Linked DNA regions of Schizosaccharomyces pombe. The protein of the gene in region 1 binds, or shares a complex with, the protein of each later gene. Each region holds a gene or a part of one and is shown in the gene's direction. Other genes may lie near its edges. The genes, in order: epl1 and mst1.

Region 1 (5,252 bases):
ATTCGTTTCGGTCAATAGAGCCAGATTGGTTAGCATCTATTTTAATAAAACGCTTGCGAATTCTTTCTATCTCCTCATTGGAAACTAGATACAATGAACGTTAGCCGAGTCGCTTTGAGGTGCTAATACTTTTGCATTGTGCATGTGAAACCGGCAACTTTGATGAATTGGCTATAATCTTAAAAAGAAATAGACGACAAGAGATGTAAGTATTCTAACATGAAAAAATATAATGATAAGAACACTTTTGGCCACACGTACTAAGCATCAAACTTACAGGATGAATTTGAGATCAAGTCCTCAAAGATTTGCGACTGCGACTGACCCATGAGAGGGAAACACAATAATATGAAATGAGTAAGGTTCAATTAACAAACCAAGAATATAACGGTCAGCTACCTTTCAAAGAAAATTCCTTATATCGGTGGTGGTAGTTTGAGTCAAAATCCTTCTGAATGTAAGGGTCGAATGTCACTTGGCACACTTTGTCTTCCACCAATCTCAAAGATAATCGTGGAATCCGTAAATTTCAAAAAATGACTTGAAAACATGTTGGGTTGTGCAAAAAAATAGCTATGAAAATTATCTGTAAGCTTGTAATTGAAAATTCAACTGCAATGGCAGCTTTTCATTTTTAGAAAGGATGCATCAAACGAAAATCCGGCTTAAAAACGACAAAGAATTGAGGTTTAGAGCAATTCATAATTGCTTTGGAGATGGCTGTTTCTGCATCTTGGATTTTTAAAGGCGAGGTTTTGTAATTTTTCAAAACTAAATACCTTTAACCTTTATTCTTTCTGATGACCAAATTTTTTTTAAACTGCTTTAGCAGTTTTATGCTGATTAAGCTTTACCATATGAGCTTAAGATTATGAAGGAAGCAAAATCTGAGAATGAGCAATTTTTCGACATGTTTGGTAAGTATTTGAAAGGACTTTCGAATATTTGAAAGATTGCAATTCATGTTTTTAAATCAAATTTTAATCTTCCTGAAAAGGGCTTGGTTTCTGGAAAAAGCAAATGTGGAACGTTGAAAATGTTTGTCTACAACTTGCTTCGTTTTGAAAAAGACATTCATTTTTCTCACCCTATACTATGCGCAGTTGGCATAGATAATTGATGAGATACGGAAAACATCTTCGTTAGTGGAAAAAAATGTAGAATTTATTCCGCTGTTTACTTCTATGTTCCACCTGGCTCTGCTGCGAACAGTTTATTATTCTAACAGAAATGCCTATTCATGGTCTATAACACGCATTGAAAGTAAAAATCAAGTGCTTTTTTCTGCTACTAGAGACTACGAATACTAGCAGATCATGACTTTTCTTTTGAATTAGTAATGCTTTTTTTCTATTGAGTATTGACGAGGGTTTTCCGACGTCAATAAGATGAACTATGATAGAACTTGATTCCTTATAATTCACTATGGAGTTTTATGGACTTCACTTCAACTGATGGTTGACAATTTCCTCTTTTGTTTCTCCTGCCATCGGTTTCTTCCATTGTTTACACCTGGAATCTCCAGTAAATATCGCTACAATACGTTGTATATTAACGGTACGAGCGTATTAGAAAATTATTTTTGGTTACGTTGCTCCTCGGTAAATTATCGCAGTGAAGAGGTTTATGAAAAATTTCATTCGGTTTGTTAACCCCTAGTGGTTTGACACACCAACGACGACGGCCGTCAACTACGCCAGGATTTAGCGCCTGTTTCTACAAGATTTTGAGTGAGACGAGTATCTTATAATTTTACGGTTGGATAGATTTAAGTGATTGGAGTCCAACGATACCAATATTATCATGAGTTCCGTCTCCAAAAATGCTAGGGCATATCGTCAACGGAAGGTCGGTATTAAAACCGTTATGCCGATTTATTTCGAACGTGATATACCTGACTTTGATGAAGAAGCTTCACTTCAGCGGACAGTTCCCTTGGTGGAATCTGGTGTTGAAAAAGAAGAGGAAGAGGTAAGTGCGAACCCGAGAATGTGAAAGATAATGAAAAGTACGAAAAACCTTGGCTTCTTGATGGATTTCGTTGACAAAAATAAACACTCTTTTTAAAGGTGCTTAATCACCGTTTTACAATGTATACGAAGGGTTATGCGGAAAATTATGATTTGAGCGGAGTTGCATCGAATTTCTGAATTTTTTAAACTTGCTAGTTTGTTTGTGTTAAAGTTACTCTTGTAAAGATTAGTAAACTGAGAATTAAAAGTTACTTGAAAAATATTGATGCTCCTTCTTTCACGAATTTTGAGGTTTTTTTTTTTTTTTCAACGGATTCATTGAACCTTTTTAGTTTTTATTCTAAATTTGATTTTACTGAGAAAAGATTGCTACTTCATTATTGTGGCTAATGAATGTTTTGGGTTATGTTTCTAGCAATGCTTATTTATTTGATTATTTATTGTTTTTGGAATACAGCTGTCCTTTTTCTTATCGCTTTTCATTCATCTTCGATTACTTAGATTTCTAACAATTTATAGGAAAAACATTTGCAACAAGTCATCAATGAAGCCCATGAGGCCATTGTGCGTGGATCTGAAAAAAAGCTTATTATCCCTACACGGGAGGCTAAAAATATAGGTATAATTGACAAATATTACAAAAAGAATTTCATTCTTCCTAAGACATTAATTCGGTTTTCTCTCACTGTGGAAGAATGTACAAACCCAGAATATTGCATGGATGAACATGATACGGAATATTTTCTGAAGTTGAAACAGGCTCAACCTTCTCTTTCCAAATTTTCTGAATTAGATTTTGAAATTGTCATGCAGACGTTTGAAGAGGAAATTAATCAAAATCAGCCTTTTTTGAGCATGGATACCTCTCAAATATTGCCTTTGTCTGAGCTCATCACCTCCTTCGAGTTAAAAGATGTACTGTACTTGAAACCACTAGCTAGTCAAGTATACCCTTATTGGCGTGAGCGTCGTATCAGTAAGGGTGGTCTTCCAATTATGGCTAAAGCACAAGTTGGCGATGATAAGGATGATGATGATCCATATGTTTGTTTTCGTCGTCGTGAAATTCGACAGGCTCGCAAAACTCGTCGGTCGGACGCTCAGTCTTATGATCGCTTACGGAGGTTACGACAAAGCATGGAGACAAGTCTTCAGTTACTGGAACAAGTGTACAAACGTGAGCAAAAGAAGCTGCAAGCGCTTGAAGACGACTATGCTATTTTCCAGAAGCGCTGTCTTGTCAAAAAGCTTAAACGTACTCTAAATATAAAAGACAGTGATGAACTTTTAATCAATCCTAAACGACGTCCTATTGAGGTAAAGCCCGCCGCCCCTGTACCTACTCCAGCTCCACCTGTAAAAACTTCTCCTCACCCTGCTTCCTATCGCCCACAACCTACGCGAAATGTCGAAGTTCGACCGTTATTAATGCTTGATGATGTTCAATCAGCCCAAATTACACAATTTCAGATTCGTCTTCAGCAACGTCTTACCAAGAAGGAACAGCTCGATCGTAATTGGGTTGACCTTTTGGAGACGCCTAGTACCGTTATTCATACTAATTATCCCGATTCGTTTTACCGAAACATTATTCCATATTATTCAGGAAAAGAAACGAAACAATCCCATAATCAACTGAGTATTCCTTCCTCAACCCCTTCGACTCCATTATCTGATAATGGACCCACCTACTCTACACCTCACTCTTCCCTATCTAATTTTAATACGTGCGATTCACTTTCATTCTCTTCAAATAACTCTTTATACGGCTATAGCACTTTATTACATCCCAGAAATCCCATCTGCGTTCGACAACGAATAGGACGTGGAGGGCGTTTGATGTTGGATCGCACTCGTGCATTGCCAGTACATCGGTTGAGTAAACCAAAATCTCGTGTTGAAGATCGATGGCTTTTTGACATTCCCTTTGATGCCGATGACACAATTATACTCGATGATGAATCTGATGCTTCTATAATGTTTCGAGCTAGCTTGCTAAACGATGATATGGGTACTCAGTCATAAAACGCTTTTTATCTATGGTATTTATAATATTTCCATTACTAAAGATTTCGATCAAATTTTATTTTAACTATTTCTCCTCGACTAGCTTATTTAAGATTTTGATTGATTTCTTGAAGGGATTTGGGGTATAATCTATTTTTCTCTTTAGAAAAATAGTGTTTATTCATTTTTATGATTTTTGTTTGTCCAAATAAAAAATTTAATAGGGGGAATTGACTTGAAAGCATAGTCAGCTTTTTTTTTGGCTCACAAGATTTGATTTTGCTTCTACAGTCCAACCCTGGTTTTATGCATGCATAGATTCTTTATCGTCGCTAATTTATTTGATACTGTACTAGTTGAATCGGTGAATTGTTACAAAATTTTTGGTGATCCCGCTTTTTTAGACTTGCATGTGGTTAATGACTTTTTTAATGACATTCAATTCATTGTTCAGCTTTTTTAATTTAGCATATAATAAATATACGATGTACGAAGTTTATGTCTTAACGACTTATCGAATTCGTATTCAAATTGAATACATTTTTAGCTTTTTAAGTAGTTTTGGAAAAATTTCAGACTAAGTCATTGCGTTGGGTTGTTGATTATATATTTATTGGTTTCTTTCCTTTTTGTTCTATAACCATTTACTTTAGTTCTCTGAGCTTATTTTTTAGAAAATCATCCACTAACTATATGTCTCTCTCATTGCTACAAGATACAATAGCAAATATGAAGAAGAGTCATATCGAATTTATAATGCTCACTCTTAGTTTCCATAGTATGTGTTAATAAGGCGTACTTCTAGCAATTATGATTGCAGTAGGAGATTTAGAAATTATCGACTTAATTGAATATCAATAACCTTTATCTTTTTATTGTTGTTACTTTCAATTATAAAAAACTTGAAACAACTTTTTTAACTGAACTGACAAATTTTAGGTTCATCATAACGACTTTGGGGATTCAATTAAAGTCATTAAGTATATGAATGATTAATAGATTTACTGTTTAGCTTTTATGAAAATAAAAAACTAGTAATACTCACATGCATACTATTCACTTCATTGTTTACACTTAACTATTTACCAACAACTTCTTTAGTCACGTAAACTTCAACACTACCAAACGAAGATATAAAACATCTGCAATAATAAATCAGTCAAGGTACTAATTGATATATTGCTTTGGTAATATTACCAATTAAACATTCTTTTATATTTTAAATTTTAAAACAACACTCTTAACAGCCGCTCGATTCCATTTTAAATGCAC
Region 2 (6,273 bases), on another chromosome or scaffold:
AATTTTCTTTTCGTTTCGAGCAAAACCTTATCGCAAAAATTAAAGACACGGTTAAGCAGTTTGAGGGCATGATGAATCAAACCCATGTCAAAGCTATTAATCACCTCCAAGAAGTTGTTCGCGTATCAGAAGCACAAACCCTTGCTGGCGAGTGGACCGGATACGCAAAGCGTGAGCCGGAATTTATTCATGGCTCTGTTCCCCCCCGCAGCGTTGATGCTATAAAATATCCTGGTAAGAATGACCAACCCACTGTACCTATCATGGCTGGTTATTTAATTCGTAAAACAAGTTTTTTAAAGAAAAAACAAAGAGGTTTTTATGCCTTTACACATTCTGGCTATCTTTACGAATTTAAATCTTCTGATTCACTTCAAGATCCTGAACCCGAATTCGCCCTTTACATACCTGATTGTCTGATCGGTCGCCCTTCTGAGAAGAAACCCAAGTTTAAAATAACTGGCAAGGATGCTACTAAGAAAATTTTTGGCGCGCGAAACGATTACGCGTTTCGCGCTTCTAACAACACCGAACTAATGAGATGGTGGGAAGCGTTGAATACCCATATTGCTAATGTGAACTATATACAACCTTTAAGCAACGCAAATGGTCCATCAGCTGTTTCCGACAGTGATGATGATGATGATGATCCAAATGACTTCCGTCCAGCCGTCGAGCGTCAAAGTTCTACGATGAATACCCGTATGTCGCAACCAAGCTCTGCTGTCAATACAAATCGAAGTTATGGTTCGGAACAAATTCCCTCATACGCAGATAGCCAAGGAAATTCTGGCGCCAACAACAACTTTATTTACAACGCTAGTGCTACTGGTCATAATGCTTGGAATGTATAAAGATTGTATATTCGCAAATTAGGTACGAAATGTGCTCATGTATATTTGTTACACTGCCGTTGTGTTTTAAATGGCAGTCTTTGTAACTCCCCCATACCCGTCTTAATTGTATCTTTTTGATTCCCGTTTAAAGCACTTGAATGTTGATTGTGAACCATTTTACTGTTACTGTAATGAATTCATGATAGTGTTTCTTGATATATAGTGAACTTTTGAAACACCAGTCAACAAATATATAGGTATTATATATAAACTCAGAATAAATACATTTTCTGTTCACCCATACCTGTGGCTGATGACTGTTTCAATCGGGAAAGTTACTTTTTAATGTAGCAGGTTTCATTCCGATATATCTCAACCGCTCGTTTCATGTTTATTAATTTAGCAGCTGGGATGATGGTATATACCTTGTAAATAAAGTGCCTAACATACTTTTATTGGTTTTTGTGAATTAGCTGAGCGCGTTAGTGAAGTAAATTCCCTTAATTATGAAAAGTACTTCTATTATTCCTTATTGGCATTATTCTTTTAATTGGAAACGGAAAACTGAAGAATTGTATTACTGTTTATAGCATTTTCGGTACTTTCTGGACAAATTTCGAATATACTCGTGTTCAAACCCGAGAAAAATATTTTCTAGATTTTTATATTATCAAAGAACACTAATTTTAATTGAGCATTTCAGGATTTTTGAAGTTGATCGTTTAATTTATCACAGCTATCTTGATATGTGTAAAATGAAAGTATTTATTACTCTTTTCATCCTTTCAAAAATTTTATTAATTAATTTACTTTCTATTGGAAACGAAAAGGTTAGCATCGTTTGCTGTAAGCGCAGGTTGAGAATAATTACGTCGATGCTATAATAACGAGCGAAACTCTAACTTTAAAAATCATCTCGCTTAATGAATTTCAAGGTAGCAAAGATTGTAAATTCGTCGAAATTTGCTAAACAATTTAATTTAAAGCAGTAAAGTTCACAAAAAACATACCGACATTTAACGAATCGGTAAAGAAATGTTTTCGAAACTAGCAAAACTCACCACCATGAAAAAAAAATTTTCAGGGTGGCTACACAATTTGTACATGGAATAAGTATCCACTTATTGAGACTCAAGATGTCGAATGATGTTGATGATGAGTCCAAGATTGAAACAAAGTCTTATGAGGCTAAAGACATAGTTTATAAATCCAAAGTCTTTGCATTTAAGGATGGAGAATATCGAAAGGCGGAGATTTTAATGATTCAAAAAAGAACTAGAGGCGTCGTCTACTATGTACACTATAATGACTACAATAAACGTTTAGATGAATGGATTACAATAGATAATATTGATTTATCGAAAGGAATTGAGTATCCACCGCCGGAGAAGCCAAAAAAGGCTCATGGAAAAGGAAAATCCTCAAAACGTCCAAAAGCTGTTGACAGACGACGATCGATTACAGCACCTTCAAAAACTGAGCCTTCGACGCCTTCTACGGAGAAACCTGAACCATCCACCCCTTCTGGAGAAAGTGATCATGGATCAAATGCCGGGAATGAAAGTTTACCGTTATTGGAGGAAGACCACAAGCCCGAAAGTCTTTCAAAAGAACAAGAAGTAGAAAGGTTACGGTTCAGTGGCTCAATGGTTCAAAATCCTCACGAAATAGCTCGAATTCGTAATATAAACAAAATTTGCATAGGAGATCATGAAATTGAACCTTGGTACTTCTCACCGTACCCTAAAGAATTTTCGGAAGTAGATATAGTTTATATTTGCAGTTTTTGTTTCTGCTATTACGGATCTGAGCGACAATTTCAAAGACACCGCGAAAAATGTACATTGCAGCATCCACCCGGAAATGAAATATACCGTGATGACTATATATCCTTTTTTGAAATTGATGGAAGAAAGCAACGTACATGGTGTAGGAATATTTGTCTTTTGTCCAAACTTTTTCTGGATCACAAAATGCTTTACTATGATGTTGATCCCTTTTTGTTTTACTGTATGTGTCGCCGCGATGAATATGGATGTCACTTGGTAGGATATTTCTCAAAAGAAAAAGAGTCCTCCGAAAATTACAACCTTGCTTGTATCTTAACTTTACCTCAATACCAAAGACATGGTTATGGCAAGTTACTCATACAATTTTCTTATGAATTGACCAAGCGTGAGCACAAACACGGCTCACCTGAAAAACCACTTTCTGATTTGGGGTTGATTAGTTATCGAGCGTATTGGGCTGAACAAATCATCAACCTTGTGCTTGGAATGCGAACTGAAACCACTATTGACGAATTAGCCAACAAAACTTCAATGACTACTAATGATGTGCTACATACACTTCAAGCACTAAATATGCTTAAATATTACAAAGGTCAATTTATTATCTGTATTTCAGATGGAATTGAGCAACAATACGAAAGATTGAAGAACAAAAAAAGAAGAAGGATCAATGGAGATTTGTTGGCAGATTGGCAACCTCCTGTTTTTCACCCTTCCCAACTACGATTTGGATGGTAATTCTGTACAAAGAATGGATTAGATGCTGGTCGTCTTTCTTAAAAAAAAAAAAAATTCTCATAATTAAAGTATCTCCTAGATATATATTAATGATACTTAAAGTTTGAAGGAATAGAGACTAATTTGTAACCTTTTATTTCATTTTAGTTACTTTTGTAATTTCGATATTCCTTTGATTAGAAAAGCCTCTGCTATTGCCTTGGTTTTTTCGGCTGCTCCATTTTGCAGGATAGCTGGATATCGTATACTAGCCCACATGTATGCTACTATTAATTTGTGAAGCTGCTCTAGTTGTTGTAACTCGGTTTCAGTGGTTGGAATTCCGCGTTCTAATATTTCCAAAGGTACAGACTTCAAATCATATATTTGCAGACGTTTTCCTTGAGCGATAACACATCCGATTTCCCGAATAAATAGTGGTGCGTATTTAGAATGCTTTAACACTGGGCACCCTAACAATTTGATTTTATCTTTAATGGTTAAACCTTTTATGTGGTCTAAATATTCAATAATGAATGTGCTTAGTGCTCCTTCCGACACAACAAATGGAGTAGTCGTTTTCGCTAACTTAAAGTAACGATCGAAAATTAGCTTTTGAGGAATGTCATCAGAGAATAGTGATAAATATCTAAAGAATAAATCGTCCTTAGCTCCAATACAAGCATTGAATAAGTTCTTTGTAGGAAGATTCATGGCGCGATTTAATTTCGCAAAATCTTTTTGATATAGGGTAGTTACTATTCCAGCACTTTGCTTAGATCCATTGGGATTATGTCGGCCAGCTCTTCCTGCTATCTGCTTAATTTGTGGTACAGGGATGTCTATAGTGGAAACTCCACTAAACTTTTTTAAATCGCTGAAAACAATACGCTTTACGCCTAAGTTGAGACCCATACCAATGGCATCGGAGGCCAGCAAAATATTTTCATCAGAACTCTTTGAATTAAATAAGCTTGCTTGTTGATTACGGACTTCAGGAGGCAGTGAACCATAAATAACGGCAGATTTTTTTCCTAATGCTTGATCAATTTTAGACTTCAAAGTAAAAATGTTTTTCCTTGAAAAAGCCACAACACAATCCCCGTCTTTGAGTTCACTTAACTTTCCATTTAAGCTCTTTTCTGCAACGTGGAGAGGATTTAACCGTTCGTATCTGTAAACAGTAAAATCATCTTGGGTCATTTTAGCAATTGAACGCACTAATTTAACAACACTTTCTTCTCCGCATAAATGAATTTCCTTAGCCTGCAAGCCAAGCAAGCATTGAGTCCAAGCATATCCCCGTGAAGGATCAGCCATCATTTGGATTTCATCAATGACTGCAACATCAAAAGTAGTAGATAAGTTGCACATTTCTACAGTACATGAAACAACCTGAGGGAAAGGATAATCATTTCTAATCTCTTCCCCTGTGTAAAGATTACAAGCTATTCCGTTTGCTTGCAAGCGATTATAGATTTCGTGAGCCAAAAGTCTTAAAGGGCCAGCAAATATACCTTTCTTGCAAGTCTTAAGTCTTTCTAAAGCCCTATGTGTTTTCCCGCTATTCGTTGGGCCGACATGCATAATGATATGCCTTCTGAGTTTTCTCGCTCCTGGATACCACTCAATTGGATTTTTTAAATCTGTTAATTGCTTTTGTAAGTCAGGTCTTGTTTCTTCTATTCGCTCTTGATATCGTACATACTTCCGATACTCTGAGAGTAAACAATCATGGATCTTTTTTATTTTCTGAAGGTCAAAAGTAGAAGAAGATTTTGAAAGAGCCAATGATTTATCAGAGTTTTTTAAGTCAGAAAATCCTAAATCTGTAAGGATATTCTTTTTTAACTCATAATAGTATACATTCTGAAAGACACTGGCATCCTTGCAGACATTGACAAAGTCTTGGGCTAAGTATGCTTGTTTTGACGAAAGTTCTTTGGAAGCAAATAAATATGCAGTGAAGCGATTGAGGGCAGCAGCCCACAAGGTATTTCCTGGGAATTTCCTTTGTTGAAAAACATCCTTTGATAAAGTGTGAATTCTAGCAGACTTGCTAAAAAACGGTACACAAAACGTTACGCCATGAATCAAAGTTTCCAAAAACATTCCTGGCGAGTTAAAATCTTTCTAGCAATGCTCTATTGCTGGCCGCCCTGTAACCAGAGCAAAACTTAATCCAAGTATTTAAAGTAATTTAAAAACAAGAAATGTTTATATAGAAAATTAAATACTTCTCAAACGTCTGAAGGTCCCTGGCTTTATCGCTTTTAAAAATATTACCTTCTATTAATTAAAAAAGGAAAAAAAAAGTAATAATTTGACTACGAGATTCAGTCAAGTTGCCTGCTGAGGCCTCTAATATGTTATACCAACAGCTCTGCATGTATCTCCAAAAAATTAGTATCTCAGCAGTACCCTTTAAATTCCAGTTTTCCGCTTCAGTAAATATATAAAATTTTTTAAAAAGCGTTTATTACCTACACTTGTATTATAACAATTTCACGCATTTGGTGTTGGCTTTCGATTATTTACGCGTGCTGTAAGAAATTAGAGAACCTGTGGATTCGAACAGGAAATGAATTGTGTATCACCATGTTTTTCGATGTTTCATTTTGTGATGCGTTACATATCGTTATCCGAGAATGACTAGAGAAGGTGAGTAGTAATACCTTGTCTAGTTCACTTTGCAACACATCTTCTGTAATCTACCAAGCGTTCTTTCAAATTTCTTCGCATTAAGTTTTAAATTATAGGTCTTCAAGATGGTGTTAGAAGCAACGATGATTCTGTAAGAATTTATTTTTGTTAAATTATTGCTCTAACATGGCAGAATTGATAATTCAGAATGGATGATTAATGGTGATTATATACCTACGAGGTTTGAAGCTCAAAAGGATACTGTACATATGATTTTCAATCAAAAG

What was found.
Region 2: epl1 (region 1) and mst1 share a complex: the UniProt entries of both Schizosaccharomyces pombe proteins name them as parts of the nuA4 histone acetyltransferase complex.

What each region holds. Positions count from the first base shown.
Region 1 is NC_003421.2:2,187,281-2,192,532, reverse strand, and holds epl1 (NuA4 histone acetyltransferase core complex-Piccolo HAT module linker protein Epl1), read left to right. Parts: upstream 1-1,657; 5' UTR 1,658-1,803; coding exon 1,804-1,971; exon of another isoform or gene 1,972-2,178; intron 2,179-2,492; coding exon 2,493-3,998; 3' UTR 3,999-4,450; downstream 4,451-5,252. Other genes in the region: cnb1 (calcineurin regulatory subunit B), read right to left, coding at 1-84, 278-329. UniProt on the Schizosaccharomyces pombe protein: Component of the NuA4 histone acetyltransferase complex which is involved in transcriptional activation of selected genes principally by acetylation of nucleosomal histone H4 and H2A. The NuA4 complex is also involved in DNA repair.
Region 2 is NC_003424.3:4,558,475-4,564,747, reverse strand, and holds mst1 (histone acetyltransferase, KAT5 family Mst1), read left to right. Parts: upstream 1-1,918; 5' UTR 1,919-1,972; coding exon 1,973-3,364; 3' UTR 3,365-3,511; coding exon of another isoform or gene 3,512-5,455; 3' UTR 5,456-5,647; downstream 5,648-6,273. Other genes in the region: slm1 (cytoskeletal signaling protein), read left to right, coding at 1-854; ATP-dependent RNA helicase Rpm2, read right to left, coding at 3,512-5,455; 19S proteasome regulatory subunit Rpn10, read left to right, coding at 6,112-6,137, 6,180-6,273. UniProt on the Schizosaccharomyces pombe protein: Catalytic component of the NuA4 histone acetyltransferase (HAT) complex which is involved in epigenetic transcriptional activation of selected genes principally by acetylation of nucleosomal histones H4, H3, H2B, H2A and H2A variant H2A.Z.